Drosophila melanogaster: one gene and its partner. The protein of the gene in region 1 interacts with the protein of each later gene in a pairwise test. Each region holds a gene or a part of one and is shown in the gene's direction. Other genes may lie near its edges.

Region 1 (15,505 bases):
TATTATTATTACTTTTAATATTATCATTGGCCATGCAAACAAGCATGCTGCTAATATCGCCGCTCAGGGATTTTAGATCTCCGATTTCCAAATGCGCTCATCAAATAGAAAGATTTACATAAGACACTTTTGAACTGGTTTTCGGATTCAGTGATTTAGTTGCTTTTTTTGTAAACAATGATCGGTCCAGTTTTATGGGTCATGCTACCAAATGGGTTACTACAGAAATTGAGAAATATTATAATATTAGATTACATACATATATGTATATATATGTAATTTAATTTTAATTTTAATTTTAATTTTAACTCCAACGGTTTCAAGCTGGCATATGTGTATATGTAAAAGAAAATAGGGGTATGATATTTTGAATTACTCAGTTCTTTATTTTCTATAGTTTTTCTGGATAGTCATGACAATTGGGTTTGAGGTAATTGCTATTCGACGGAAACAAGTCAAGTAAGATATACGGAAAATCTACTTATTAGAGATGACTTCTGTGTGGTGTTACCAAGATTATGTGAACAAATATGTACACTATATATCGAGGAATAGTTTCTGGGAAATCCGATGTGCTGAAGTATTACGTAGTTGTTTCCGAACTCTAGGGGCTTTATAAATGTGAAAACAAGCATGCATATGTGTTTCAATTTTCGATAAATTGCAGTTCCCTGTAAAACACCCCCATGTGAAATAAAACCCTCCTCCCCTTTTGGTTAACCTTTGTAAACCCACTCGAGATCCACTCACACACTCACAATTGAGTGTTTTGCCCACATTTCACTTTTGGCATTGCGTTTCAATTGAACAAATTCACGCTAACAATTAACAATAAACAATAACAAATTTCCGACGAAAAATCTCATCGAAAAAAAAAAGGAAAAACAAACAACAATGGCATGAAAGAGGAAAAGAGATGGTGGGTGGGGGTGCGAGAAAGAGGCCAACAGTCTACCTATGATTGGTGTGCGATAGAGAGGGACTATTTCGTTGCTGGGCAGACAATTTGGCATTTTTTGCAAGATCGCTATGTGCCTCTCCCTCGGGGCAGCTGCTGTCCCGCTCCAACACTAGCACTGCACTTATCCTGTGTTCGAGAAACCATTTCACGTGAAAAGCTATTAAAACAAAAAATTGAAAACGCTCTCAAGTTTAATACGAAAATTCAAGGAAATGAGCGGAAGAAGATGGTAAAAGCGGGTTTTACCAAGAATAATCAAAAAGTGCACACACATACAGACATACATACATACATACATAGGCACACAGAGAGAAACGAGCGCAGACAAGAACAATTTGACGCATTACAAACCAAGTTAATAACACCTTTTCTTCCGAAGGGTACAACTACGGCAACAGCAAGAGGAGGACCAATGTTCCCAGATTCCCCTACCCCTACCAACCATCCTCACCGCCCTCCCTCTCACTTCTTAACCCATTGTTGTTGTACGGCTTCGGACGAATTCAGCCGCTACACCTTTACATTCATACACCTTTAGCAAGAAGCCATGGCCAACAACAGGGCCCAGCAACAACAACCACTTTGCTATAGGCCATAACAGCAGCGCAACCAGGCCTCGATATTGGTAGTGGTGCGGCTGGGAGAGCAGCGCAAGTACAGTGAAGCCTAAGCAGCAGAAGAACTTAGCAGTATTGAGTATTGAGTTTGGTTTAAAAAAGTTAAGCAAAGTAAATGTTTATATAAATATAATTAAGTTATTTTATATAATTAATAAATTATATTATATATGAGAACAACGGGTAGTTTGATGGAACCATCAGTGTGATTATGGTCAAAATGTGTAATACCCAAATGAGTTTTTAAATTTTACTGACATAATATTTAACCCTAATCCATTTTCAAAATACCTTTAAACTAAAGATTCTAATTTAAGTTTGCTAACTTACAAAAAGTGTGCTAATCCAATGATTCAAACTTCCATCTACATAGATACTTTTCCCGAAAGTAAAAAGTATAATATATCCTACATAATTCCTACGAGATATTCTTAATTTTTTCACGAAGTTACCGCGAAGTTACTTTCGAGCGACAAGCACAACAGGGGTTAATCAATACAAGTTTTGACAGCTCATGTTATCAGTGATATTCGATATGGTTATGTTTGGCGTGGGAAAACGCGGAGTGGAATGCGAGTAAGTGGTTGTATTTTCTTGTGGGTGCGCACGCCACTGTCGAGGCTTCACTGTATCCGCATCTGCTCGTGCGCTTGCATCTGCATCTGTATTCGTGTCGTGTGGCGCTGTGTGCGTTTCAGTTTCGAGTCTGTGTGAGGGCCAGCTTCATTTCAGCTTGGCTTGCGGTGTTAAATGTTTGCAGCAGCATTTTTCATTCAATAGCCCGAACAACAAGAACAACAACAACAACAACAACGGCAGCTGGCTGCCAACATCATCACACAAGCGCACACACACAGCCGCGCGAACCACTCAGAGTGCCTGCGTGTGTGTGTGTGTGTGCGTGTGAGTCCGCTTGTGTATCTGTGAGAGTGAGTGCGAGTACGAGTATCTTTGTATCTGCTGGTTCGCCTGGGCTGTCTGTCACTTCTCAGAAATCGGTCTAAATTAGAAAATGCGTTTCTGGGAATTTCGTATCGCTCTTTTGGGCCCACGGAGCTCAGCGAACAACATATATAAAAAAATATACATATATATGTATATTGTCAGTATATATTGTAGCCATTCCCCTTACGTCCAGTTCGCGGAATATTGCGCCTTTCCCTAATAAATTTATCAATGGCATTTGCAAATATTATATAGCAAACAGGGCAACTATTTATTTTGCTTAGTAATTTATGCAAACAGCGAGCGGTTCAGGGAATTCCAATTACCACAATGTGGTAAACACCTAAGACAGTTTTGTATTTACCTCTATTTTGGTTTGCTGGCTTTTTTTTTTGGTTTCGGTGTGCTCGTTACTTTTGGCTAGTTGGCAATTTGGCTAAACCGTAGTTTAAGCATATTTTAGTTTTGCTTTGAAAGATATTTTCCCCGTTTTCACGTTATCTCAACCGTTTGGCTGGCACATACACACTCACACTAGCAAACACTAATTGATTGCACTTTTCGATCTGCGATGGCACTGCACTATTTCCATTCGACAGTGTGCACTTCCACTAATTTGTGCAATTTCACTCGACGCAACGAAACCACGCACGAATCCGAAGAAGTATCGCTTCCCCGAAAAGTATCTGTATCGTTCGCACTGCGTCCGCTTCGTTCCGTTTCTCCAGTGTGACTGCCAACGGAATCGCCAACGATACTGCGACCCATTAAAAATTCCACAATGGCCGCGGAAAAAGTAGCACTAGCGGGTGGATAACTCGGCTAAGTGGTCGCACATTATCGCTAGAAATGGTGGTGAAACTGGAAAGTGGTCGAGTTTCAAAATACTGGTATTCGTATACTCTAGCACGGGCTCCAACCCGTGGCATCATTAGCAGTCAGGACGGCAATGCTTGATATCCTTATAAATCAATATGGCCGCGCTTAACATCCTTAGAATTCAGGATGGCAGCCCCGCTAATGCTTAGAATTAACAAAATGAGTGGAATTACTTGAAAAATCAAATTAACGGTGACTTAACTTTTGTTTCCAAAATGTGGAACTCATTGTGCCGTAGAATTTTTGAAAATATATTTTGAAAACATATTTTCCTCCATGAGAACTTCTTGAAAGTTTCCAATGAGAATTTGTCACAACATTTTATTTGATTTCGTTCAAAAAAATATTAAAATTATTCATAATTATAAAACGTAGATAAGAAATTCCAAAACAAGAGCTTAATACACTCAAAACAAAAGTCGGGTCTATACAAAAGTAAATTTCTTATTGGACAATTACACTTAACAAATATTTAGTCTAGTATTTGCTGGTCATTAATCCGCTAACGTTTTTTCATTTTTGCGATCAGGTCTTACAATCATGTTCTAATAAAAACTAAAGATAGACGAACATATAAATACTCTTGACTATATTACACATTCCTTTTTACACAATAAATCCCAAAAATATTATTATTATATTAAATTCATGATGGAAAATTATTATTCTAAGCAAAATATTAAACAGCACAGGAATAATGAGCTCATAGCCGCGATTACTTTCATATATTTATTAGGTTTAAAATGGTGGCATTAAATCGTGATACCTTTACAAGGGTATAACAATTCTCTCCGAGCTTATCAACAAGCAAATAAAAACAAGTAAGCCGGTGGCAATAAACAGTCAAGAAGTTCTCTTCGGCATGGCAACTGTGGGACAGCTGACGAGAATCACGGATGTGGCCAATCTCAAGGATCTGCAGATACTGTATCTGAAGGATTGGCCCAGCAACTGTGTCGGCTACTTCTGGCTGGACAACTACTTGCGATGGATGGATCAAAACCCGACGTTGAAACACCTTAACTTCTATACTTTGGATAATGATTGGAGGAGCGATGGATTGTTTATACTGGTGGTCTGTGGAAACGTTCTTACGAACTATTGAGTATAATCATTGAACACTTATCATTTCAGCATCGTTATCAACTATTCTTCAGTAACTTGAGCAAGCAAAAAACCGATTTGGAAGTTGCGCTGAAACAATTGGATTGGTCGAGAGGATTTAAAGTCAGTGCTATCCATGAGATCCATCACAAGATCTACAAGCAGCTGGCTCTGGACCTCGGGCTCAACATGGATCGAGAAATGAATACCATTATGTACATCCTGAACCGTGAGGAGGCAGAGAGACTGCAGATACAGTGCCCGGATGGTTATTTCCTGGACAAAGTGCGGCTGGAACATGCAGATCTTATTAACGATCTTTGGTCAGCTCGACATCCCGGCTCGCTGAAGCTCATCCAGATGCTTATAACATACAATACCAATGTGGGATTGTATGAGAAGGAGTTGGGTTCATTATGTGCTTGGTGCTTGAGGTACTAAGAAAATGAATTCTGAATTGTATTGTATCTTTAACCAAGTCTTACAGACTGCAAAGTGGATTCCTCGGTGCTTTGGAAGTGCTCCCAACCCACCAACGTCGTGGTTTGGGCCTAGTTGTGGCCGCCGCCATTTCCAAAGCAATCGCAACGGATCTACAGCAGGATATTACGGCTTTGGTCAATATAAACAACAGTGCTGCCTGTCGTGTGTTTGAGAAACTCAACTTCAGGTTGATCCAGGACGAACACTACTACTGGAGCATGATTAAGCCAGCAGCAGGAGGCCAGATATCTTGGCCCTGCGACGAATAGGGCCCACACCGTTAGTATTATTGGCCAGAAATTGCTTACAAATGAATTGTTTGTATACCTTATATACCTTTGTAGTTGTAACCTTAAGAAATATATTCTTCAAACTAAGTACAGATGATGCTTGACGAGCTGCACTTCTATTTGGATATTTGATCGGAAAGGTTGTTTCGCTTGAAGTAAGTGTGCAGTCAGTTGAGAGCTAGCTTTTAGCCAGCTAAATATTTTCACAATTCCCCATTGCTGACTCAGTTTTAACTGCCACTTAGCAAATGATTCTGATCACATTCAAGCCAAAAGGCTTTCGGATATCTTGATCCGGCAGGGAATAGGCCCAGACAGCAAATAGAGATACAGCAAAGTCTACAGCGGCTAATATGCAAAATATCTAGAAGGTGCCCTGCTATCTCAGTGTATAAATTGAATCACCGTCTAGTTGCCAGGGATCAGTTTTCGAAATGGATCGTCTGCAGCAGGTCGGCGTTCAGCAGTTGGGTGATCTGAAGCGTGTTTTCACCCGGGAATGGCCAAAATACTGCAAGGAGTACTACTGCCTGGACACGTTTCTGGAGCTATATAAAAAGGACGATCAGCTGAAGGATGTGCAAGTCTATGCTCTTCCCAATCTAGAGCTCGGAATATTTGTGATCGTGGTATGAATGCGGTTGGTGGTTGTGCGATCTTTTATTTAATTTTTATGTGGATCGTTAAGGATCACTATCAGATATTTGTGGGCTTCCTGGAAGCTGAACAATCAGAAAGCCTTTTCAAGGAGTCCTTACTCAAGTTTAAGCTCTATGGAGGCGAACAGTTCGCCTCAATGCCAAAAAGGTATTTCAATGTTGCCAACGACATTATTCAAGCGAAGAATCTGAAACTAGATCTCGACTGTGTAACACTTTCCCTGGTCTTGAGCAAAGAGGAAGCCCTGCTTTTTCAAGTAGAGTAAGTTCATCCAAAAATATATATAGTGCATGTGCCTAATAAACCGCTCTAAACTTTAACAGACCTCCAGCCGGATTTTCCCTTAAGCCGGTAGATATAGACGATGCTCAGGTGATTAATGATCAATGGGAATGGAGTGAGCCGGATTCCCTTTCCGTGGTCCGCCGTCAAATTCTGTATGACACAGAAAGAAATTCATGCTATTAGAAATAAATTCTCAATTACTATTACTTCGCAGGGCTCCAGATGGCTTATTGGCAGTCCTTCAGGTCAAGACGACCTACAAACGCAGAGGCTTCGGCCAACTGATTGTGAAGGAATTTGCGAGACAAGAGGCTCTGCTGGGACGCGATACAATCACCGAAGTGGTTCCGGAAAACAAGGCATCCTTGGGCCTGTTCACCAAACTGGGCTTTAAAATCAACGACCAGTGTCACTGGCTGATGACGGAGCCGCCAAAAGGAGTTCGATAAGATTAAGGACTTGTTTATCTGTAAATGTTATTTTTTTTGTAGATTTAAATTATTAAAGCTGATAAGTTTTAGCAGCTGGCAAAAAATGTACTGGCTGGCCATAAGAAAACCACACGTAAGAGAATCTAACGATTTGAAGAGATTGCATGAAGAGAAATAGACAAGCTGCTTGATTGAGTCACCCAAACAACAATCAAATGAGCCATTTTCACTCGGTCGCTCGAAGGGGAAGATTGTTTCGCTCGACCAATATGGGTACTCGATTAGAAGTTATTGGGCTGAAAGATATCCAGGAGTTCCAACAGCTCTACAAGCAAAACTGGCCAAAATATTGCCAGGAATACTACTGCCTTGATAACTTTGTGGAATTTCTGAAAAAACAGCCCCATATGAGGAATATTAAGATGTACACATTGGATGCAAAACAAGCCAGAGATGAAGGTCTTTTTGTTATAGTGGTGAGTTCTACATATATGTATAGACTGCAACTCACTAAGAGAGGCGGCCCTCTCTTAGGATCGCTATCAACTATTCGTAGGTTGCTTGAACAACACGAACGGCCTTGTTGGAAAAGCTCTGGATTTACTGGACTGGTCGTCGGGTTTGAAATGCAGTTCTATACCCTCCAGACACATTGGTGCCCTGGATAGTCTGGTGGAGTCCAAAAAGTTGAATCTGGTGTACAGGGACTGCACGAATTTGTTTTTTATGAAAGCCAACGACGCTCTCAAGCTGAAAGTCGAGTAAGAAATAATAATCCATTTAACATAACGAGTTTTATATGATCTAAGTCTTGTAGACCTCCATCTGGATTTGTTTTAAAGTCGTTGAGTGTGGCAGATGCTCCATTGGTTAACGCAGAGTGGCCCAATCATCATGAGGGATCTTTGTTCTTCGTAGAAAGGCAGATTCGCCTGTGCGTCAGTGTTGGATTGTACCAGGAAGACACCCAGGAACTAGTTGCCTGGTGCATTAGGTAAGACGAATGTATTTTTATAAAGACACATTACCTGATATCGAAATCTGTAGGTTACAAGGCGGCTACTTGGGCGCCCTGCAAGTCAAAGATACACACAAGCGACGCGGATTTGGCAGTGTGGTGACTAGGGAAATAGCATACCGCCTAGCCGTCCAAGGTCACGATGTAATGGCTCTCGTGGGCCCCTCGAATAAGCCGTCATCGGAGATGTTCAGCAAACTGGGATTCCAGGTCATCGATCAATGCTACTGGCTAAGGACGGAACCCACCGGTGGGCAGTTCACATGGCCCGAGGGCGAGTAATTGGTGTTTAAATGTCTGTATTAAAATATTACGACTTTCGGTTGTATATGAATACAAGTATTGGTATAAAAATATGCCGAGGCATTTGAGCTGTGCTTATTCTAAAACTCTAAACGAGCGAGCAATCCCTGGCAGCGATCTTCTAATTGGAGGGGACTACACTGGATAGTCGGATCCTCTGTTAGAGTCCGGGTGATCTTCCATAAGCACTCGAGATCGTATTGCACATGATAATCGTTCATTGTGTAACTATCGAATAGTAAAAATTTGGTGGCTACGGTTCCCTCTGCCAATCGGCGAGCGGCTATAAACTCCAGTAGTTCTATAAAATCGAGGTAGTTGATACCAAAGCTGGCCCTCAGCATTGTCTGGCAGTGGGCCTCAAAGTTGTCCATCTGCTGGCAGTCGGAGATCTCATTGCAAACGGCCTTCAGGTTGTTCTTAAGGTTTTGCCAGACCATGGATATGTTGCAGCCATTGAACCAGTTGTGATTGACGGATATGGTGTCTGTTAGGTTCCACACCTGATGAAACCAGCCACTGGGCACGAAAACAGCTTCATTGGCCCGCTGATTAATGGTGTAATATCGCACGTTGTGCTCATCCAGCATTTTCTCGTCTATACTAAAGGGCAGGTTTCCCAAGCGATCGTTGAGTTTGAGTTCTTCTCCCGGCGGCATTATCAGCCATTTCTTAAGGCCCACTATATTGGTGGACCAACTGAAGGAGCCAAACACGTCCGCATGATAGGAGGTCCTAGAATGGAAGGTAATTTAGCATGAGAAAACCAGGTAAGGCATCAAAATAGACCATGAGTTCTTGGGCCCCATATAGACGAATCGATAGTCGTCTTTCCCCTGCTGAATCAGTTGTTCGTTGAGCCAGTCGGAGGCAAAGTATTTAGGCACCTTGTAGAAGTTATAGCCCGGCATTTGGGCAGCCAGATGCCAGTCCTTGAGGTAGAGATTGTCCCCGCTCGCGGGAGCCACATTACTATTCACTTCCGCCGACGTCCACGCTGCTGACGATTGACTTTCGATGCTACTCCTCCACTTGGCCAGGTAGTCGTGGAAGTTGAGCTCCAGTTTGGTGTGACTATTGAAGTACGACGAATTGCAATTGGCAACTGGAACCGGGCCATCGCTGATCTTGGTTTTGAGGTAGTCAAAGTTGATGGAAGATGCACTCGGATTGGAGTTGAGATCCCGCGACTCTGGACTGGACTGGCCTACAGTCCAGTTCTGGCACTCCCAGTCGTTAGACACATTGGCTATGATGACCGGTATGTTCTTGTGCATGTAGCGCCAGAAAAAATCGTTATAATCTAGTCCAGAACAGCGCTCGATTTCCTCGGGCAGCTGTGGGTCAGTTTCCACGACTTCCTCGGGATGCAACTGGAGCAGGACATCCCCATCCCGCTCTTCGGACGCCATTCGATCTGGCTGTGGGTCTTTGAGGCGCTCAAATTCCTAATCATGCACTGGCTGTTCCTTTTTGAGTTCCTTGTAAAAAATTCCAAAACGATATTTGGTTGCAACTTTTCTGTGTGACCATCGCAAATAAAATAACATATGGTCTTGCCGTTATATCAATGTGACCGTTTACAAGTGTCTTTATAGACGATAGACGATTTGGTATTTTTCAAGGATGGGTTTGAATGAAGGCTACGAATTCATTTAAATTAACTTAAATGGAATCTATGAAAAAAATTCTTAAAATGATAAAGCTAGCACCCCAATAAGTTAACTTCACCAGATGTTTAATCAATAAATCCCACATGGTTATTTAATACGATTTTTTATCAGCGATTACATGTATGTACGTTGGCTGTTATTTATCTAGCACAGCTTCGAACACAATGAATGTAAAAACGTGTCGTAACAGAAAAATTCAAACTCCCCGAAAACTGTGGATAACATTTTAATGGAATTTTTCGCATAAAAAATTCATAAAATTAAAAAGTTTTTGACATACCGTGACTTGTCGCGCCATGTACCGTCGGCTTATCCCGTCGATTTATTCCGCCGACTGTATATATATATATATATATTCTTCATCAAGATCAATAGCCGAGTCGATCTGGTCATGTCCGACTGTCCGTATAAGGAGCTATAAAAGCTAGAGGGTTGAGATTCAGCATACAGATTCTGGAGACATAGACTCAGCACAAGTTTATTGACACATGTTGCCAAGCCCACTCTAACGCCCTAAAATCGTCCAAAACTTCGACGTCCACAAAATTATTATTTATTTTTGATAATTTTTTTTTATAATTTTATTAACCTTGCAAATTTCTATCGATTTGCCAAAAACCTTTTTGCAAAGCCCACTCTAACATCCTAAAACCGCCCAAATCTGACCTCCACATTTTTGAAAATTGTTGGATATTTTTTCATAATTTTATTGATCATGTAAATTTCTGTCGACTTGCAAAAAGCTTTTGGCACGCCCACTCTAACGCTCTAAAACCACTTTTAACAAATTTCAAATTTTTTACTCATTTTATTCCCCAATATCTATCTATGTATATCCCAGAAAAATGATGAAATTTTGCGTTCGCATTCACACTAGCGGAGTAACGGGTATCTGATAGTCGGGGAACTCGACTCTCTTGTTATTTTTTAGAATTCACCTATAAAAACCGAAAAAATAAATAAATTAAGAACCCCCTTAAGTTCCACATTCCACCATTCCACGTGTTCCAGCAATAAAACAATTTATTATTTTCCTTAATTGGTTTTATATTTACTGCAGTTGGTTTGCCTTTAGAGTTTTATTCGCTAAACATTTTACCATTTTCAAGTTTTTAACTACAATTTGGTTTTACATATGCATGTCTGAGATTGTGTGTTTGTTTCTGTTCAATTTCAAACTGAGAAAGAGATCAAATAAGTGTAAGACATTTTGAGAATCGAGTTGTAGTGTATATATGCATGTTGTTCTATGCTAGTCGGTTTTTATTTCTAGATCTAGGCATATTCGTATATGTATAAACTTTACAGATATTTATTTTGCGACCTTCCAGGCCAGACTTATAGCTACATGATTACCAACAAATCTGCTCATCAGACCAGTACAGTATAATACGCTCGAATCGCTTGCTAGAAAACTATATAATGACCATACAAATTAGCGTATAGGTAAAAATGCTATATACACATACAAAATCGTACAAAACGTAACAGTAGATTCTCATGCTATCAATCGTTATAAAGGTGTTTACAATTTATTATTCGGTTTCGGTTTAGAAAATGTACAATTATTGATTTTGTCTTGGGTTTTCGGTTTTTCGGTTTTACATTTTTCGGTTTTTCGGCTTGCAATATTGGTTTAGTATGTATAATTTGTTTACTTAGGCTAAGCGCATTTTTCTATATTTCCATCTTTTTATTTAGAAGGTACAGAGAGACTGACTGAGAGATCTATGTATCTGTGTATCTGGTAGGTGAAAACGAATGTAGTATGTATGTATGTACTATATGCTGCAAAACTTCTATATCATTATGAATTTTTGCTATACTTATTGTGATCGGAATCTATGTACAGTGTTCGTGTAGCAGGCAGTGCCACGTCTACACGTTGCTTACGAACTAATTTAGTATTCATTACGCTATTTATTCATTCAGTTTCGACGCCCTCGAACTGCTTAAAAATTTAACTAAACATTTCATTTACGTCCCGCCCTCGCTGGAACTAAAGTATTTAATTACTTTACTCATTGTTTATAAGTGTATGCTTTCCCACTCATAAGTATTCGCATTGGATTTAATGCTAAATCAAATACTTTGTTAATTAAATATCTTAGCTTAATACATGCTTGATATGTAGTTCTCATGTAAATTAGTGAAATAATTGAAAGTTCACAGAAGAGAAGTGGAGTGTTTGTTGGTCCAGTTGGAGATGAGCTAACAAAGTCTGGTTTCTATATGGATTCGAGGTAGGAAATAACTTAGTGTTACGTTAATTTTGTGTGGGACTCTGGTGCAATTTATAAGTAGGTGTGTTCTTCCTTGGCAGTCTGTAGATTGTCATAAAATGAAAAGAAATTCGATTCGATTACCAAAGGGAAAGATCGAGGAAGTTACTTCCCAAGCCAAATAATCAGGCATTCAAATGTTTACGTATCTTAAAAATATGTATTTAAAGCTTATACGAATCGTAGGTATCTATATCATTAGTTTAATTTACGTTCCTTTAAATTTGCTACATAGGTCTATCCACTATACATCTGAAGCAGCAGTTCAATCGATTTCTCCTACGATTTTGGGTACATCCCCGGCATTTCCGGTACAACCTCGGTGTGTTTGGATCCGCTGCTCAATTAGCTGGACGTACAGTTGTACGGGTCGTCCGTGCGGAAGTTCGGATGATCCTCGAAGGGTTTCACGCCCGCTGCCTTTTTGTCATCCCTCAGCTTTTCCACCTGCTGCATGACCCTGAGGAAATTGCCGCCTGCCAGCTTCGTCAGCTCGTCAATTGTCCAGCCGCCGCCAAGGAGTTCGGCAAATAGAGTCGGATATGAAGACACATCCTCCAGTCCTTTGGGCGTACTAAAATTAGAAGAAGGAATCTCAGTGCATTAGCTTTTTTGTCGAAATATGAGTTATACATTTTGGAATAATGCTTCCGCATAAAACATATATTTGAAAAAATTTCTAATCACAATTAAATTAAATTTTCGTGCACTACATACAAAATAAATTGGCTAAGCTGTCCAGAGGCAGAGTCCACGGCAAACAAACTCTGGGCGTAATAAAGTCGCATTGGGTCAAGCTACAGAGGAAAACAAATAAATAATGGATTGCACACATAGGAAAATAAATAATAAATATACATTTTGCAGGCCGAACACTCAAGTGCTCGGTAATCATATTTTATGAACAGAAATTTGTACAAATAAATAATAATTTAGTTTTCTATGCAGGCGTTTAGGCCAAACACGGTTTCAATGACACAAACAGCAAAAATATGGGTCACAATACCAGTAAGGACAAATTAAACAGGGTGATGCACCATAAATCCGATTTATTTATATTTATTAAAACAATCATTTTCAATTAAATGGACTGCCAACCATGTAATATTATAAGAGCACTTTATATTAAATTATTATCAACATTATTATAAAACATTCGCGCCACCCTGCCGAGTCAATATAAAACAATTTAAGGATTTTCCAAAAATTTGCCAAATCGACTGCGGTTGGAAAACAATTTATGTCCTTTTCTCCTAGTTTGGCTTTTGCCATTTTCAAGTTCTGCATGCGAATGTGGGCAGAATGTTTATTGTGCATGTGTGTGCGTTTGTGTTGCCAAATTAATAGCACTTATTTGCGGCTTTTGATGGCCAAAACTTAAAATTCAATTCAATATGTCGATCAAATTATCGGCACAAGTAATGACAATTTAATTGAATAGATAAACCTCAACCTCGAAAAATGGGAAGGTGTCATAGGGGACAGCCAATGAGCCTTTAAAGTGGAAATTCGCGTTATTTGCCGAATATCAGCCCAGGATATCAGCCATGCGGTTTGACCCGAACCGGAAACAAGGCCATTTGACATTTGGTAATTTCATAGAATTTTAGATTATTTATTGTGCCATACTCATGTTTGTTTCGTATTTCGGTCCCCGGCAATTGCCCCATAAATATTCATATACACCAATTTCAGTTTTCTTGTTTTCATTGGGCCCCAAAATACCTCAAAAACATTTATGTGGTCGCGCTGCTGCCCCGAAAGACCAAAACAAAATGAAGTTCATTTCGGTGGAAATTGATTTACATTGACATTTTTATGTCGTCCTTGTTGTTATTTTTGCATGGGAATCCTGCTCATTTTTGCTCATTTTTGGCCATGTCCTCAAAATATTTAATGCAAAAACAGCCCAGCGAGATGAGACTGGACGACCAGGTAGGTTTATCAAAATTTCATCCTCAACATTTTGTTTGTTTTCGCATTGTGTTCACGATGCAATGAAATGGAAATCTATGCAAATGCATTCTCCGCAGCATCACGGGAATAATTACAACGATAATGAAGATGAATGAGCTTGATGATGGTGATGACGCTGAGTTTGGGGAAAAAGGACATTCTGCCACTGGTCGGCTCATCGAGGTAATGAACATTTCGCTCCTGCTAATGGGGACAGGCTTTAAATACTTTTGGACAAATTCTGATTGGTAAGTGATTTACTGGCAGCTTTGGGCTGCGAGCTCATTTAAATACCAGATTTCGCAAATGGAATTTAGCTGGATTTTTCGGTACTTAAATATTTTGCTACATAGTTTTCCGGAGCATGTCCTCATTGCAGTGTTTTTTCCGAATTTATCGTCGAAAGTAGTGTCAGCCATTTAATACACTAACGACTACCATAATCTTATGGTATCTTATCCACATATTTACGATGGCTGATAATCTTTTATTAATGGCCACCTGGATGCAAGTTGAGAGCTCATTAAATTAACTTGAAAATCTCGGTAAACAGATTGCACATTGTTTGCGAAAAACATGAGAGAACAAAAGGGAAATAATGGAAAAGTGCCCGTAATGAGCGGTAAAATAATAACGATCTATCCGCACCCATCGCGCTCTGGCAATATGCCAATTTTAAGTCCTCGTCCTTAAATATAATCAATTAATAACTTAAAAAACAGTAGGTAGATTGGCAGCCAGAGGAGGGGAAACCACCTGGAGGTGGTAACATATATATATATATATATATTGACTACGGCGAGGACGAGCGGAGGAATGCGAATTTAAGTGAAATAAATGACTTTTACTTACTAATTAATGCCGTCGTAGCCGGCGCCCAGTCCAACGTGATCGATGCCTGCGACTCGCTTAATGTGATTAATATGCGCTGTGTGTGTCGAAAGTGTGTTGGTCAGCGGAAGGATATCCGGTGGCAGGGTTACCATTCGTCGTCAAGTTCATTAAGGGCCATTGTTGCAGGTTGGACGCCATTGTTGTTGTATGGCCGTCATAAGTCAGCGTTATTAAAATTTTCGCAAATTTGAAATGTGTCCAAGTCGACCGAAAAACAAAGAAATGGAAAGAAGTAGGCATTAGAGGGGCTTATTGCAGGAGAAACACTTGGAAAATCGCTTTTTATTACCACAAATATTAATATGCAATTTTTAAATATGTAGTATACGTTGTTCATTTATCATTTATTTATACATAGTGAGCAAATCAGTAAAACGTTCAATCAATTCGAAATGGACAAACAACATAATCTAATCTTGGTACTGATAATTTTTCCTTGTGTAGCCAAAAAAAGTGGTGGGAAATCTGCGGGGATTCAAAAGAAGACATCGAGTCAAGGAAGTGATTACGAGACCCATTTTGATGGCTCGTCAAAAGCAATGCCACAAAAATCAGAATAGGGACAGGATGAAGGGAGTGAAAAGAAGATAAAAGGTAATAATGAACTAACTGAAACAATAGCCCGGCAATCAGGATTCAGCGCAACAAAGAGCAACCGCGGCCAAGTCACTGGCTTTGATTGATTTCGGATGGGGCAAAGTTCCCTCGAAGGCATCTAACAAGG
Region 2 (17,122 bases), on another chromosome or scaffold:
TTAAATTATGCGTATGACTAAATCGAAACATATCAAATGCAACCTCTAACTATGTTATCAGCTGATAAAATAAATATTTGTTTATTCGATAAGCGAAATACACCAGTCTAGACTGGTGAACTTAAATATAATAGTCGTATGTATTAACCAAACACACAATGTGTAAGATAGCTGGAAAATAGATATTTTATAAATGTTACCTCCTAGTTATTTCACTTAATCACAATCGTCTCCACGGGCTGACTGATTCCAAAGATGTGCTGCGCCAGCATCAAGTGTTCTTGGTTAATGAAATTCGCAAGCAAAGTGATCACGTTCTCATTGCAGCGGGCAATCTGCTGGCGTGTTATCGCCCTGAATTCATCTCGGGCTCCTTTGTCCGCTCCACGGGTGCCAATTCTTCGGCTTTGGGAACCACCAGCTACAGTGGTCGCAGTAGGTGTGCCACTCGAATTTGGCGAGCTGGTCAACTCAAAGTTATCCTCCTGCTGGGAGTTCCAAATGTGCGAGAGTTCCTCGAGCAAATCGATATTAATAATGTAGGTGGATAGGGTGCGCAGATTGAACGATTTCCGTTGCTTGATCAGGTTAAATATCTGTTGAGTGAGCAGAACATCGTTGAGTAGATTAAGTTGCTGCAGCACTAGGATATCCCCTAGCAATCGATCTGGAACGTTCGGTTCGAAGACCTTGCGACTCAGTCTGCTGATGATGGCTCCCACGCAGTACTGAACCAACGCTGATCGAGTGAGGGGCAGAAAAACCATGTGCCTGTGGCCCTTCAGCGACATATTCTCCAAAAGTTGACCCTGGGTGGTGGGGAGTTCTGACAGGATCTTTAAAATGCACTGGAAGCCCTGGAGCTGTGTGAGAAATTCATTAAGGTTTACCCATGTGAAAAAACTGGCTCTCTACTTACCGTCATGCTGCCTTGCATTAGATTAAGGCTCAAGATCTGCAGGCTTTGCACCAGACTGCTCTGGGTGGTCATGTCCGCCATAAGCTTGTTGGCCTCATCCCGGTGTCCGAAATATATGGCCAAGTCGAAGAGGAATCTTGAGATCCAAGGCGCCAAGGGAAGAGCCAGCATAAGTTGACTGAAATCCCTTTGGAACTGATCCGTATTGAGCAGCTGCCAGCACTGGGCGGCGTGTAGGAAGGCCTTGGATAACTCTGGACTTATGGCCGTGGTCAGGGAGAATTTCGGTGGCTCCATGCTGGGCACTTCGGAGCCATCACCTTCCGGCGACCATTCCATGAATCCTTCTACCAAAACATGAGTTACATCGGCATCCTCGATCCTCAGCTTACAATTTCGTATATAACCATGAAGGGAGTAAATGAACAAGGTGGTGGCGTAGAACAAAACCTGGGAGCTGCCCGCAGGACTGCCGGAAAGTATGTCCACCAGCTTTTCCCAGTAGACGTTCTGGTTGACATGCTTGCTGAAGGGCAGGAAGGGCTCCCAGCCCATCATCTGACCGCAGATCATCAGCACTTTAAAGATGTTCTTCCAGGCATCTGCTGTATCCGATTCATCCATTATTTGCCGCAAATAAAACTCCAAGGAACTGGTATAAAGTCTGCAGGCCAGATTTGGCGAAAGTTCCGGGGGCTTATTCTGGATCATGGGCAATACCTCCTCCACCAGAATCCGCTGATAGAGATCCGGTTCGGTTTTCATGCCCTCCGCCAGCATTTCCAGTAGCCTGGGAGCCTGAGTTATGGCTGATTTGGGAAACTTGTTGAACATCAGTATGTAGATATAGATGCGCTCCAGATTATCGGCACTGTGGTTGATGGTGTGCATGAATATGTTGTGCTGTACTTCCGGAGTTAGGTGCTTGTACATTTTTACATAGAACTCGTGTTCCGGCGTAGTTTCATTCTCATTTCTGAGGGCATTTGTTAGGGAGTTGATCTCCTGCCACAGCTCCGTATGTTGATTCTGGAAATTGGTGGCTCTGGAACAGTAAAAGATAAAGTAACTGGAATAGATGTGCTATTGTATACTCACATAGCACTGAAACACTTTGCTGCCTCCTCATAATTCTGAGCATCGCGTTCCAGTAGATAAGCCTCGTATTGCAGGTTGAATGCATTGGGATATAAAGTTTTAGCTGTGATAATCCAGGCCATGGCCGCGCAAGGATCGCTTTTCCGGAGTCTTTGCGCCTCCTTGACCATGTACAACTCATTTTCCTCTTGGCTCGGCATGTTTCTTCGGGTATATCTTTTGTTTTTATTAATTTTCTCCTAGTTTCAACAAAAACAAACCATTTAGCCGGCTATTAGGAATTTATTTACTAGCACTGGCCATATTTTTCTATTAGGGATGGGAACTATTGGATCTAGAAACTAGCTAGAGATTTCAATTATTTTCAAAACGCTTGTTTAGCATAGTGCGCTTGTTTTAGTTACATTAGGGCTGGCGTTATTGAGTCATTTCAACCTAAAACGCTTTTTATATCAATATATGTTCGGTGAATTCGAAGATATTTAATTTTCAGCTTGAATATAGCTAGCTTAACAAGCGACTCTCTCCTCATCTGCAATCGATAACAGCAGCGGCAGTAGTGTTGCATAGTAGCTGCCAGCCAGCTGATTATTCGCTAAATAACCAATTGTTTTTTCGCGAATTTTTCAATTTTCTGTGATTTTTGCGGCTACAAAATCGAAAACTATATTAAGCAAAATACATACGAACCTGGCAATTGCGACTGCTTATGTAATATCTGTGACAAACCAAGTTTTCTAGAAAATACCTGCCGATGCGTCGTTGCGCTTTGTTTTTGTTGCGTGAATAAGAATCGTTGGATATTTGTACATTCGCAATTTGTTGTAAATATGTTTAAATCTTAAGTGCCACAGCTTATCAACGAAGTAATATAATTGCGATTCCCTCCTTTTGTTAATCAGTCCCACTATATAGCACTAAATATAAAAATTGAGTGCACAAATCGCAGTATGCCCCATTTTCTGATTGTCATTCCGAAAACAAACAATGACAGTCGCATTGAAAGTTTAAATCAAATCGTTTCCCAGAAAATTCGTACGTAAATATCTGAAATGTCAGACACTAAATCCGAAATTGAGGGCTTTATAGCCATTCCCACGACATCGGGCGAACAACAACAACAACAGCCGCAACAGCAGCAAAATGAGCAACAAGTGGTCGGCACAAAGGACATTAAAGCTCCTGATCAGGGTAAGTTGTGTAATATTTATAGAAACTTACTAACTTACTTAAGAGCGCTCTATGTAATTGATAAATGGCCTGCAAATAACAATCGTTCATTAGTATCTTATCATATTCTATATCGTAAAATAATCTTAAAAAATACGATTATTGTATATATTAATATTTAGTTGAGAGTATCACTGATATCTAGAAGTTATTCATAATCTATAATAGAAATCATTATTTAATACATATCACTTAACAATAGATACTCATAAATCATGATAAACAAGACAACGTACACTAATTCATGCATTATGCTAATAACAATCTGCTCATTCTATAGATATTTTTTTAACAAATTTATTTGTACCTGTTTCTATTGTTAGTTTATAGAGCAATGTGTTTTTCATCCACGAATTATGCATATCTATTTACTCATACCTTGAATCACTTAACTTGAATGAAGTTCCTTAGACTTTCATTCCAAGATCGGCGACTCTCTTCGATGAATCATCAAGTTAACCCCTTCGAATAAAAGTAACATAAATTCCGAAAAACCTGTTTGATTATTTTGTAAATTGCTTCAAAAATGTGACGTTATATTTATTGTAATAATAGCCGTTTTAATTGTTCAGTTCCAACTTGTTTAACCTAGTGTCTTATCAAATATATTATGTAAACACAAAATAATTCTAAGTTTGATTAATTTTACAATTTATTTTAAAGCAAATTGAGTAGTGAATTAAATATTTATGTCGTGTTAGACATAATTTTATTTACAATTTCTTTCGTGATTTGTTTTTGAATGCAAGTGTTAATTTACTTAATTTATTTAAAGTTCTACATCAGTCTTAAAGTCTTAACGGGAGTTTTGAGTTTACTTCTGTGTTCTATATTTTGTAGTGTCAAAATGTATTGTATATAACTACCGGTTTGAGTTGTTGCTTCCGAAATCCGCACATAGCAGGTTTGTTTCTGCAATTTTCAATCTTCTCCTAACCAACCAACAGCACAGACAATTTCACTAATCATATCCTCGAGATTCTGTTTAAATATAAATACAAATAAAACTCGTTGCAGTGGGGAAAAAGCAGCGACCACGTTTGATACAAGAGAAGAGCACCCAGGAGACAAATCCGTTGATCCTGGAGCATGCTACTCTGGAATGGGTGCCGCAGCATATGGATAAGCTACTGAATCAGTATCAGGAATGTCGCAAAATGCCGGCTGCCGAGTGGCTTCATTTGTTGACTTACCTGGTGGCCCTGGAATGCGGATTTGTGGAGGAGGAGACATTTGCCCAGAAGAGACACCTCATTCAACCCGTACCATCATTTAGCAGCTTTCACGCCCAGAATGTGCGAATCCTGAGCGAACAACCAGCTAGATATGAAGTGTGCTTCAATGACACCGTCTATATAATGCGACTGAGAACACTATTGGACAAGCATGCTCCCGAGGAGACTTCTCTGGTGGCTGCCCTTCAGTGCCGGCTGATGGCCGTCAGCCTGGGGGATCAGCTTATGATCACCCTGTCCCCAGCACCTCCGTCGAAGGAGCCTGGCTACAGCGTCAGCCTGTCTATCGGACGCTATGTACTGAATATTCAGGCGAAGAACAAGCCCATCTACCATCGCTTTCGGAAGCTGGATGAACTCTCATATCAGCTGAAACAGCACTTGTTCCAGCCCATGCGATCGCAGCAACTAATGCAGATGGAGATGAAGCTACAGCCCTCGCTATTGGGCCTCCCGGACGAATTGTACTTCGAGATCTTCAGATATCTGGACAAAAGCCAGCTAAATGTGGTGGCCAGGGTCAATAGACATCTTCATTTCTACAGCAAGGAAGTGGAGCGAAAAAGGCTAAAGGGCGGCAGAAGCTAAGCTCTTGTTTTAATCGAAGCCGGTTTAAGCGATTTTATAAATATTATTATATTAATAAATTATTAAGTGGTGCATAAAGATTCTCGGGAATCATTGTATGTCAATAAATATATTTGCTTATTCAAGTAAATGCCTTGTTAAGAGCTGAAATACAACACGTCTCTTTATATTCTCTGAAATGTTTTAAATATTAAGACGGATTTTTACAATAAACTATCCTCAAAGATAAAGGGAATATTCCTTGCTTTATTTGGTGGAAGGCATGGATTTTTTCAATTGAAAAGGTAAATTCGAGAAAGTGATTCAATTAATTAAGCACTTCAGTTTTCAGATAGATTTTAAGTAACAGGGGAAGGTGTTTTAAATTACTGAAGCTTCTTATGTTTTGTTTTTTTACATATGTTTTAGTAAGAGTAAGAGTAAGAGTAATACCATATATTTGTGTTTAAATTATCCTTTAAATTGTGTCCTTATTGCATGCATTTATACGACCCGCTCCATCAGCAAGGACAATTGTGGATCCTCCGACGCCCTCGGCTGAGTCCTGCAACTCCTTCGATATCTTTGAGCCACCTGCCACGCCCCTGGATTCCATTAGCCTCAAGAGCAGTGCCAGTAGTTACCTCTACGATCGTGATATTACAGGTGAGTTGCGTCCACGTGTCCGCGCCACCTGTTCGTCGGCATTTCACCCCCCCCCCCTCCGCCCTTTATGACCGAAAAGAGGGGTACACGCCCCTAAACGAGTCGGCCCTCAACCACAGAAGTGCAGAATGCGAAACAAGCTGCTCCAGCAGCCAAAAACACGCGCCGAGATTGTCGCATCCACAATTCCCAGTGCCCCCAAAAAACCCCAAGCCCCCATTCGCCATTCCATCTTCGTCGGCTTCGAATCTCCAACCTCACAAGCCCACTTCGATTTTTTATGCGCACGCAAAATCAACAAAACCCACGCGGGCAAAACGGCACCCCTATAACCCCTATGTGTGCTACAGCTTTATACACTGAGAGAAACCCATGAAAAGCCGACGAAAATTTGTAAGTTTACACTAGTTTACAATTTTCAATTCATTTGGAACTCTTGAGAGTATCTCGAACACATTCGTATTTCTTTTAAATGTTTCTCTCAGTGTACTCCCCTTGGCCTCTTCGCCTTTTCGGTTTTCCTGGCGGATGGCATCTACAATTTGGTTTTTCTCCCTCAACAGCGGGATGCTTGCTGCTCGGTGCTGGGCTCCTATTTCGTGTTTATATTACGATATCGACTTTCTCGGGCCGAGCCTTATCACTAAAATAAAATGAAATAAAAACAAAAATGGAAAAGGGAGAGAGTGAGAGTGAGCCCAGCCTGGCGACATTCCCCTTGGAAACCCTATGTTTTCGGTTTCCCGTGGGTCCTGTCGAAATTATCTGGCTACAACTTTATCAAAATTTACGAAAAACAGTGACAAATGCATAAATAAATTATGGCAAAGCCAAACAAAGCAAAACATATTCCGCTGGGCTAGTGCTCTCGCATTTATTTTTGGACTAGAGGCAGTCGTGTCTCCTGAAAAGCTTCGGAAAAACGAGAGAAGCTTTCCATCGAGCGAAGAGTTACTCAGCATTTCCCAGGGGCAGCTGTTTAACCCCAGCCTCGTCATCCATTTTGTCCGCCCACAATTCGGTCGAATGGTTGGGTGAATGAACCCACAGATGTGGGTTTCATACAGTGGCGAAATATAACGAAATATAGTTATTATATACCACGTCAAGGAGTATTTCAAAAAGTGTTCTAATTGCAAATCATTCATTTTGCATTGATAAGATTATTATTAAAAACCGGTTTGAACTGGTGGGTTTCTGCAATAAAATTTCTATTGACTGCGATTATTTGTCAATGTTTTTATGGCCTAATGAAAGACTATCTTATCACGAATAAAAGCATGGAAATTGGAATTCCATGGACAACAGAAATAATTAACCACTGAGTCATTTTGTTTATGTTGGGACATACATTAACCTAAATTTCTTCAATATTGAGCTAAATTGAGTTACATGCGGTTTTGGTCACACTGTCTCCCCATCTGCAATGCTAAACTGTGCCAAACTTTTCATTCTGCTTCTCGTTTGAGTAGCTGTTGTTGCTTTCGTTTCCATTCTCGGTCTCCTCCCGTTTGTGGGTGGTCCAGTAACGGTAAACAGCAAAGAGGAATCAAAAGAGTTGGCAAAACATATGCTTCTCCTATTTCCCTCTTACTTCTGGGATGCAAGCAAAAGCAAGGGCCAATTTTCTAAGCACCAGCAGATGCAACTCTGTCTCGCTCACTCAGGGTCACACTGGAAAAAATAATCGTTAAATAAACAAACATAAAAGTGAACTCTGCTTTAAACTCTTTAGTAAATCAGCTATATTTATGAATGATGTTAAAAATAATATTTTAAACATCATAAATATTTGAAACTGCTATTTAGACGTGCGATATTGAGTCCAAAACCTGATGAACTTTCATGTGGGGGGTGCTCAGATGGACCCGATTGTTTGCTATCTGTGCTTTCACAGCTCTCACAGACTCCCGATTTCCTGTGCAACTCTCTACGATTCTACCACTCTCTCGGCTGATTGCGCTTTTCGCCTCTCGCTCCTTGGCCAGCCAGCTTTTCCGCAGGATAACAAAGCTCGGCGCAATCAGTCGTCGTACTTTGGCCCAGCGTCTCTGGTCGGAAAAGCGGAAAAGCGGGACTTTTCACCCGGGAGAGAGTGTCGCGAATCCTCGCTCTCGCCCAGATACCGTTAGAACCTGTTCGAACTAGGTCCTTTAGTGGCATACATATGCGTGGCATCCTTCGCGTCCGTGTGTGCTTGTGCTATGTGTTTTCATAAATATAAATAAATAAGTCCTGGCTGGTCCAGAACTTACTACTACTACTACCCCACACACACACAACAGCTGATTATTTCAAATCGGCGCTGGAGATTTTTATAAACACTTTCAAGTGGGTTTTTGGGTTTGAGAGGCTGCCGAGCGACCTTGACATCGCAGTCAATGGTCTAGTTACCTCTTGCATTATCTTTGACTCGCTGAAATCATTGCGAAATCAGCTGGATTATTAGTGATTTATACTAAAGATTTATGAAGTTTTCTAAATTTTATAAATCGTATTTTAACAGTGTGAATGGGTCGCTGAAATGGTAAACAATTCAGTGTGTATTTTCTAAAGAAAATTTATTTCTAACGATTTTAGTGTAATATTTGTAGTAAATACTGGATAGCAAATCCAGCGACCGAAACGCAATGGTCTAGTGCCACTTTTGAACTGTATAAGTTAATATTAGATCAGCCTCAAGCTGGATTACAGCAGCGATAGCAACGGACCCTGGGAGAAGCAGCAGCAGAACCCAAATCCGCAGAACTCCAACGCGGAAAAGGACAACAATGCCAGGACCAATGAGCAGCTGCAGCAGGACTTGCTGCAACAGTTGCAGCAGCAATTCCAGATGGCAGCGGTGCAGCAGCAGCAGCACCACCAGCGGCAGTTGCTGCACCACCAGCACTCCCATCCGCCCTTCCAAGCCACCCAGCAGCACCAGCCCGCGCAGCAGCAGCAGCAGCAGCAGCATCAAACGGTGCAGCAGCAGCAGCAACAGCAGCAGCAGCGCTTGCACCACTCGCACCACCCACCGCTGCAGCACCACCTGTCGCTGGGTGGCTACCAGCAACTGCAGCTGCAGATGCAGGCCAACAGGAATCAGTACTCCACGCCGCAGCATCACTATCGCAATGCAACCAATGCTGCAGCGGCCGCAGCTGCAACATCGGCGAATGCTGCCACCATTAGACGCCGCACCTTGAGTCACGTATCGCGCTCTTACTCCCTGGGCACAGCGGCGGCCAACGCAGCAGCAGCCGCAGCAGCAGCAGCAGCAACAGCAGCGGCCACAACTGCAGCAGCCACAACTGCAACATCATCGGCCAGTAGCAACAATCAACTGAGTATCCACAAAACTGGGATCATGGTCGCCGCCTCACGATGTCGAAGTCCCATAATGCTGTGCCACAGTCACAGCGACGGCGAGTTTCCACTGTACCGAGGTGAGTCCGCAAGCGGGTGCCCACTGTAACGTAGTGCGTTCCCAGGTGGATCGACGTACATTTTGATAGCTTAATTAGCCGCTGTCATTGTGTGTCACTCGCATGTGCAACAGTTGACGGCAACGGGAAATGGGATGAAAATGAGATGAAAATGGTATGAAAGTGTGGGGCTATTGAAGGGAAATTGCGTTGCGTTTGTGTATTTTCCGGTGCTCCATTGTGTCCTGTAATGCTAACTGGTCGATTGTTGTGTGCGGGCCTTTGGGCTTGCACCTCGTATTGATTGATTACTTCGCAATGATTTATTAATTGGATTACAGTCATGCGGGCTTCGTTTCATACTGGCAGTTTACGTTTTAATTAAATATTTTCCAAGCACATAAATGTGCTTATTTTTATGGAAGAACAGAGATATTGCAAAATGAGTAGGCAAATAATAAATAAAATATATTTTTATACCCATTTAAACGTATCAAGGAGGTTTTATGCGTTACAATAAACTCAATTAGCAGCGTTTACTTTGATGGTGCCCCGTTTAGATTTCCACTTAATTACTCAATTACCGTTTCAACCGATTCGATATAAAAAGCCATCATTTCCTAATCCGCAACCTTAACAAGCTATATCGCACTCAATATTGATATTTATGACGATGGCAATTTGCTAAATTGAGTAAATGTCATTGAAATCGCGAAAAGGTTGGCTGTAATCAATGTCCTTTTCATTGCTCTTTATCCTGCACTCGATTCTATGCAATTTTCCCGTTGATTTTTATGCTTTTCTTTGGCTTTTCCTCCACCATTTCCACTTTTGTTTCGCTTGTCATCTGGTGCGAAACTTAATTAAATTACGACACTTCTTCAGCGCTTTTTTTCAGCATTTCCTGACAAGTTCAAAGCGCAATGTGTCGCACATCCTGCCAAGGATTTCCTTTGCTCTCTTTCTATTTTGATCGCCTTTCCTTTTCCCTCACACACATATTTGTTGACTGTTCTAATACGCTTTAAATGATGGAATCGATTTGGAAACATTTGATGAGCTTGTCGCAGCGGCGACATCTGCGAAAATCTTTCATGAGTCTGCACAGTAAAGAAATTTAACAAAATAAAATAAATTCCTAAAAAAATAAATTATTTTGAAATTATTTGTATAATGGTTTTTGCAACCTCTAATAAAAAACTGTGTATGTTCGCCAAAAAAAAAAAAATCATAGATAATTCTATTATTTTGACACTCTCTTTTCTCAGTGTAAAACATTTGCGGGTGTTCGTACGAAATAAAATTAGCAGACTGATGATGAGACGGAATCAAGGGGGTACAAAAACTTTTCTTTGTCGTAAAATGTTGCGAGCAACGTTTCCCAAAAAATTGGGGCTACAAAAATTGATAACTCAAGTGGAAATCCAAGCGCATTCTGAAGTTGTTCATATAAAAAATTTACGAGTTTCTTTCGACATCTTGAAAAAGTTTCGTTCTTGGATTTGGTTGATTGTTTAAAAAATTATTGATACGAATTTTATTGGCGGCTTCATTTTTGTGGGATCTAGCAGCTGAAACAAATGGGGTTGGGTTAATTATTCAGGCCGCATTTTTGGGTTCAATTTTGATGTGCATAAATTTCGTTGAGCACGATTTATTGGTAAGGATTTTCCGCCTTTCGTTCCCAAACTTGTTAAATTTCCCTCGGACTTTCTGGCTGGGTAAATATTGACAAATATTGATAATATTTCATTACCGTCTTCGATAGTTTTGGCCCGCCTTTTTTTTTTGCCTTTATCCTTGTCAACGAAATTTGCAGTTGTGTTCGTTGCCTTCTTTTTCAATTTTTATTTGCTGTCAATATGGCGCCATTTATGACAAACTGTTCGATGATGGCGTCGACAGCTTCCTCGGCTTTAATCACACCAGCCCAGGAACCCTCTCGTTGCCTACACTGAAAACAATTGCATATGAATGTTTGCTGAACTCATTCCACCACTCATTTTTAAGCCAACAACTTGAAGGAGTTATTTAAAGTAATACAAACTAAGCTCAAACTAAGCAAATCATCATTGTATACATTTATAGCCCAATTTGTTTCAGTGTATTGCATGGCGGATACTTAATGACTCCATGGCGTGTCTTTAGTGCTCGAGTTAATGTTTCGCGTATTGATTTCGCTCCCTTCGCCTGCAACCCCACGACTCTTCCCTTTCGCTCAAATGCTTCTTGGCATTTCTCCCACGGAAAATGGGGGCGGTGGGACAGGACGGAAAAGGGGGGCGTGGCCGGGTAGTGGGGACAACAGCATCCGCAGCAAGTTGGCCAAGTAATTAAGGTTCTTGTAGCGCTGCTGCCTCAATGGCTCCCCAAGTTACGTGCACGAAATCTAAATTTAATTTGCAACTTGTGCCAAAAACGTGGGAAAAAGAAAAATTAAATAAAATATTTCGATGCAGCACGAGTTTTTCTTATGGGCCTATTGACGTCATTAGCTGTAGTATGGGTATAAATAATGAAAAGGATGAAAAGAAGGATAATTAATTGACAGCGGAAGAGATAAATGGATACTGTGGGATGCGATGAGTCTTCAAATAAATTCAAAAAAACCTATTAAATCATTTCAACAACATTTTAAGAGCTCTATCATTATTTCATAGAAGAAAAACAATTAAAAAGTACCACTTCTTATGATTAAAATATTCTGAAAATTATCTATTCAATTGCATTTCAAACAAATTTAGTTTGAACCCAAATGAAATGTCACACAATCATATAACACTTAACACGCTACGCAATTGGCCTATTCAAATTTCCCGATGAAGTTTAAATGTTTGCCGCAATTTAATTTCACTTACATAAATCCTTAGTAAATCTATTTAGCCGCCAAACTTTTCCTCTCACAAATTGAGTTCAAATTTTCTCGCTTTGGCCTGACATTTTCTGTGTGCCATCTTCTAGGCGCTTCAAGTTGGCCAAGAAACAACTCAATTTGAGTTTGAATGCAGCTATTTTGGGCCTGGTACTTGGTCGCCGAATTTGGCATTGAATTAACGTCTTCTGTCCGCCAGTTTTCCTTTTTCTTTGGACTCACTTTTTTGGCGAAAAGCGAGCGAGACCCCAGGAAAATTACCATAAAAATGCGCAGCTCTGTAAAAGATTATCTTTATTTGCAGACCGAGACGGGCAAATCAAATGTATGTCCTTGAACCTTCTCGCCCTCCCCCTCACGTCCATTTGAGTTTTCCCCACAGTCACATCAGACTAAACAAAAGGCCGAGGGAAAACCCAAAAAGAAAAACACAGCAACAAAAAAGGAAGACAAGTCAAAAGGTAACCAACAACAACGGAGACAATGCCAACCGCAAATGACCAACTTAAGCCTCAATTTTGGTCAAAAGGGAAGACATGGAAAAGATGGCCAAGAGGGGGAGGTAGTCGGAGGGGGGGGGGGGAAAACTGTGACCACCTTGCTGGCAAATTGCCTGGCTTAAAAATTTAATACTGCTCGCTTATTTGAAAACAATCAAAGCTCCAGTTTTGTTGTTGACTTTTCGAATGCACTGAAAGAAAAAAAGTTGACCAACTTTATAATTTTTATTTTTCGCTACCTTAAGCATATATCATTTATTTTATATAATTTGGAATATGTTTAATTTATGTACAACAATTATTATATAAAAATGTATCTAAACTCTTCTCTATTTTTCTCTGTGTCGCTGTTTACGGTTTTTCTCGTTTGGCTCGTCCGCTGTTATTTATTTATATTTTATTTGCCTGCCCCACTTACCTGACATCAACCCCTGTCCGCCGCATCCTTCCGCCTTCCTTCCTGTCGTCCTTCCGCTGGCTGTCCACCACTTCCCCCTCTCCCCACCCTTCTCATCCGCACTCAACTCATCTCCAGTGACAGAATTCTGGTCATGTGCTGCACATAATTGCATTCAAAGCTCTGGAAAGCAACCCTCCTGATTTTCTACACCCCCCTCTTATTGAGCAGCGCGGCAAATGACAATAAGAGCGGTTACTTATACGCCATGTTGGCCATGTGGAAAGTTGCTCATGTAATTACAGCCCAGTTTGTTGTTGCGGGTGGTCAGGAAAAACGGAATTCTTTATGCAAACTTTTAGGTCATGCCACTCGGACATGGATCTGGCCAATGACAAGTAGCAGGGAAAGTTTTGAGGGAATTAAAGTTTTCCAACAGAGGGGAAGGATATTTTATGAAAAAAAAAAAAACGTGGAATAACTTTGCAGTGAAAGTTGTTTATGCTGTCAGTGGAAGTTTAATTTCATTAACATGTTCGTAATGTACTATTTTAGTCATAATAAGTTGAAATGGGAATTCAGCAAATTAAGAACTGCCTTACAGAAATTTCCTTAAATTTGCGACTTTGCTTTGAATTTGTAACTTTTTCGAAATTGTAGTCATCCCATTCGATTTTTTCTTTGCCTTTTTCACTATTGATTTATGTGGGTTTTATGTTTTGGTGCTCTATTCCGTTGACCAACCTTCTATTCCCGTTTAACGTTTTGTTGACTAACACGCATTTCACTAAAAATAAACTTTTGTATTTTATGCTCTTATTTAATTAGTAATTTTATTAGTAATTTACTAAAATCCCAAAACTTGTCATTGAGTAGAACAATTACTTATGACCAAAATTTCAAAATATTTTAATATGCATATTATTGAATATATAAAATCTAAATAAAAAATATAAATTAAGCAGAGAGTTTCAGCAAAGCCATACAAGTTGGAAAAGCAGTTTCTACAATCGTTTTTTGAAAATCTGTTAAATTTTTCCCAGTATACTTTTCAACGAGAAGTGGTCATTGTGACAGTTTTGTTTTATTTTGACCGCGTTTGCGATTGATTTTAGTTTTAGTTGAACGCGAACCTTTACCAACGACGGCTGAGAAAAACTTACAATTCTCAAAAAATTGAAAGAAAATCAAATACACATGTGTACGCGAATAAGCCAAATAAAAATCGATTATACGCCACGTTGAACGCGCTGAAAAGTAAAGATAAAATTGTGCCGCGAATTCAATTTAACGCCAGACTTGACTTTATCGTGTGCGAGTAATCAGAGAAAACGGCGATATATAGGAGTAAAAAAGGATTTGTAGATAGGAAAAATTTGCAGAGGAGGAGATGGAGTGAGGTGCCAATTGAGATGTCCTGTCGACGCCACACGATTACCATTTCATCAGTACTTTGATTTGGGCCAGGCTAATAGATAGGCCTTTATTATCATCCATTTTTTTCCCATTGATTTTCCTTTTTGGGCTTCAATGTTTCGCAAACGAAAGCAGCAGCAGTTGCGATTGAAACATCGTACCGGCGACAGGAAGCGGAAATTGTTGTCCTGCATTTTTAACAGAGGTTGGCTTAAAACTGTTCTTCACTTTCACACTCACACTTTAGCGATTAATTTTTAATAATGCCCGGATAAAAAGGAGCCAGAATTTCTTATCCTTGCTGTGGAGGACTTGAATATGTTTTTAGTAAAAGAGAAACACGAAACCGACCCTCCGTGGAAGGATAGCTTGGTGTAATCACTTGTTGAGTGCTTTGTTTCGTCCTTTTGTTCGTCCTGCTAATAGTCCGGCAATTAATTGCTTGTCTGCCTTGATTCCTCGCCTGCGGCCCTCATTAATCAGGGGCGAAAATTGATAAGCGCTATGATTTAATAATAAATTATAGCCAAGGAAACGATTTACTCGGAATTTAATAAGGAAATTGCTCGGAGCCTTAGAAAAAAATTGGTATTAATAAAAGTGATTTCAATAGCTGTTTAAACTTTTGTATACAGCTCACTCTTCTTTAAATGTTGAATTTTTTCTGAAAAGGATATATTCATACATTGAGTATTCTTACTCAACCTTATAGCCACGTTTAAACAAACTCACATGCTTACTTTCTTTTATACATTAAATTATCAGACTTGCTTCAGACTAATACTGACGTTAATTTTTATTTGATTTGACGTGCCATTTACCCAACACAATGGCCACAAAAGAAAACATTTTAAAAGCAAACATTGCGTGGGCTGCCAAAAAAGATTGATAAAAAGGCAGTGCTCCATACTCTGAAGCTTACGGAATAACATTCAGCGTTCTTTGTTGATTTGAAAGCTTGTGAAAAATGATTAGAAAATATAGCAAATTTAAAGCCGAAACTATTCTTTACTCTATACCCATGAGTTAGTAGAAAGTGCATCTGTTAGTCGCCTAATATCCGAATTTCTCCAATGGCTCATTTGAAATTGCCATTTAGCTGAGGGCCCCGAACAAACACTTAACTTTATTTAGCCTGAATTATTCCTGCCATTGCTCAGACCACGAAATCTCTTTTATCTCATCACCTTTTTTTTGCTTCTTCTCTTCTCTTGCAGGTAAGTTTGACATTGATGGACTACGCAGTCTGGCAAATCGAAGGATATAAGGATGTTGGTAGAAATGCGCCCGAAAAGTATGCAATGACTTTTGACATTCCCCTGCGTGTGCGTATGTGAAAAAGACGTCGACGGTGGGCGGGAAAATCGGAAAAGCAAGGCGCGTGGGTTTTTCATTTCCAAGTCAGCACCCCACGCAGCTCAACATTATCCGCCCCACGATGCAAATTAGATTTAGATTTTGACAAAATTCGCCTTCATTAATTTTTTTCTTTTGTAATACACATCTTAAAGTTCGTTCCACGCTCAAAGGGAAAACGAATAGAAAACAAGTTTCTTGAGGTAGGCACCCTGCTGATGACAGACTTTTCCCGCTTTTCGCTTTCGCATTTCCTCTGTGCAAATATACCGTGGTGTGTCGGGCTGGAAAAACAGTTTCTGTTTGTTCTTCGGGCGACAAAGTCCTAAGAAAACAATGTGAAATTAATGGCAAGTTAAGTGAAAAGTTGATTGGCATTTTTATTCTCCGCTTGGTGGTAAAATATGCGGCAACATTAAATGTTTAGGCCTCAAATCTTTAAATTTATTCTTAAGTTTACCAATTTCACATCAGTATATTTATTGGAAATACACTTCTATGAATTCAGTTAGTATTCAGCATTTTCGTATGCTTTTAAATTGAATTCATATCCTTGTGGTATTTGATTTATTTGCTACTCATTATTTACATTATTTATGCTTTGCCACATTATTCTGCTACGAAATGCCTTCTTCTTGTTGGCCAATCAAGTGGAAAACAACATTAGCATGTACATTATTCAACGTTTAACCACATTCTGCCTTATCTAAATGCATTTATTCAGGATGTTGCACATATTTCTCATTTCGGGCCAATTTCCATATGCATTTCGATGCTCTTTTTATTTTTCACAGCACCACGGTGCACAATGCGACTGAAAGGATGCTGCAAACACCAGCACAGCAGCTCACTAACACACACGCATTATGCAAATGGCGACACTGAAGCTGACGTCTAAAAAAATGAGAAATAGGAGTAGCAGTAGCAGTAGGGCAGCAGGGGAAAGGGGAAAGAGGAAGGGAGTAGGGAAAGGGGAAATGGGAAATGGAAAGGGGAAAGTGTGCACAGGAAATGCAGGGCTGTGTGCTAAGATGGCGGCGGGGAAAGTGAAACAGCAGCTCAAAGAAAGTCCTATATTTTTTAGGCAATTATTTGTGACTGCAAACTATTTTGGCACAATTTTTATAAACATATTGTGCTTAGGTAGCTTTAAAATCAGTTTCAAACTAAAAAATATTCCTATAAATTTGAATCATTTCTAAAAATCCATTTAAACAGCTAGAAAAGAAGATGTATTTTTTTAAATATTTATGCCATATAAACATTTTTAATCTGCGGTTTTTACTACCCGTTTTCTTTTGATCCTTTTGAATTGCATAATTTTTCATGCTCAAAATTCTTATATTTATCAGTTATTTTTTCGAGTGCACTCCACTTAACCCATTGCAACTTAGTTGCCATAATTTGCACATTTTAGCTGCGATGCAAATGCACGCCGACGCATGCCAGCGACAGTTGA

Evidence for each region.
Region 2: the proteins of CG5783 (region 1) and ntc interact in a two-hybrid assay, tested with the Drosophila melanogaster proteins (one large-scale study listed by BioGRID).

Annotation. Positions count from the first base shown.
Region 1 is NT_033779.5:18,149,153-18,164,657, forward strand, and holds CG5783 (uncharacterized protein), read left to right. Parts: upstream 1-6,890; 5' UTR 6,891-6,924; coding exon 6,925-7,131; intron 7,132-7,189; coding exon 7,190-7,416; intron 7,417-7,472; coding exon 7,473-7,649; intron 7,650-7,702; coding exon 7,703-7,955; 3' UTR 7,956-8,010; downstream 8,011-15,505. Other genes in the region: CG17681 (uncharacterized protein), read left to right, coding at 4,265-4,477, 4,537-4,940, 4,994-5,258; CG15155 (uncharacterized protein), read left to right, coding at 5,714-5,908, 5,968-6,200, 6,263-6,376, 6,439-6,673; JMJD4 (jumonji domain containing 4), read right to left, coding at 8,057-8,711, 8,766-9,388; CG42750 (uncharacterized protein), read right to left, coding at 12,277-12,505, 14,740-14,815.
Region 2 is NT_037436.4:3,791,907-3,809,028, reverse strand, and holds ntc (nutcracker), read left to right. Parts: upstream 1-2,569; 5' UTR 2,570-3,069; coding exon 3,070-3,208; intron 3,209-4,264; coding exon 4,265-5,070; 3' UTR 5,071-5,197; downstream 5,198-17,122. Other genes in the region: IntS10 (integrator 10), read right to left, coding at 213-863, 920-1,964, 2,018-2,217. UniProt on the Drosophila melanogaster protein: Functions together with PI31 to control non-apoptotic caspase activation during sperm individualization. Positively regulates PI31 stability.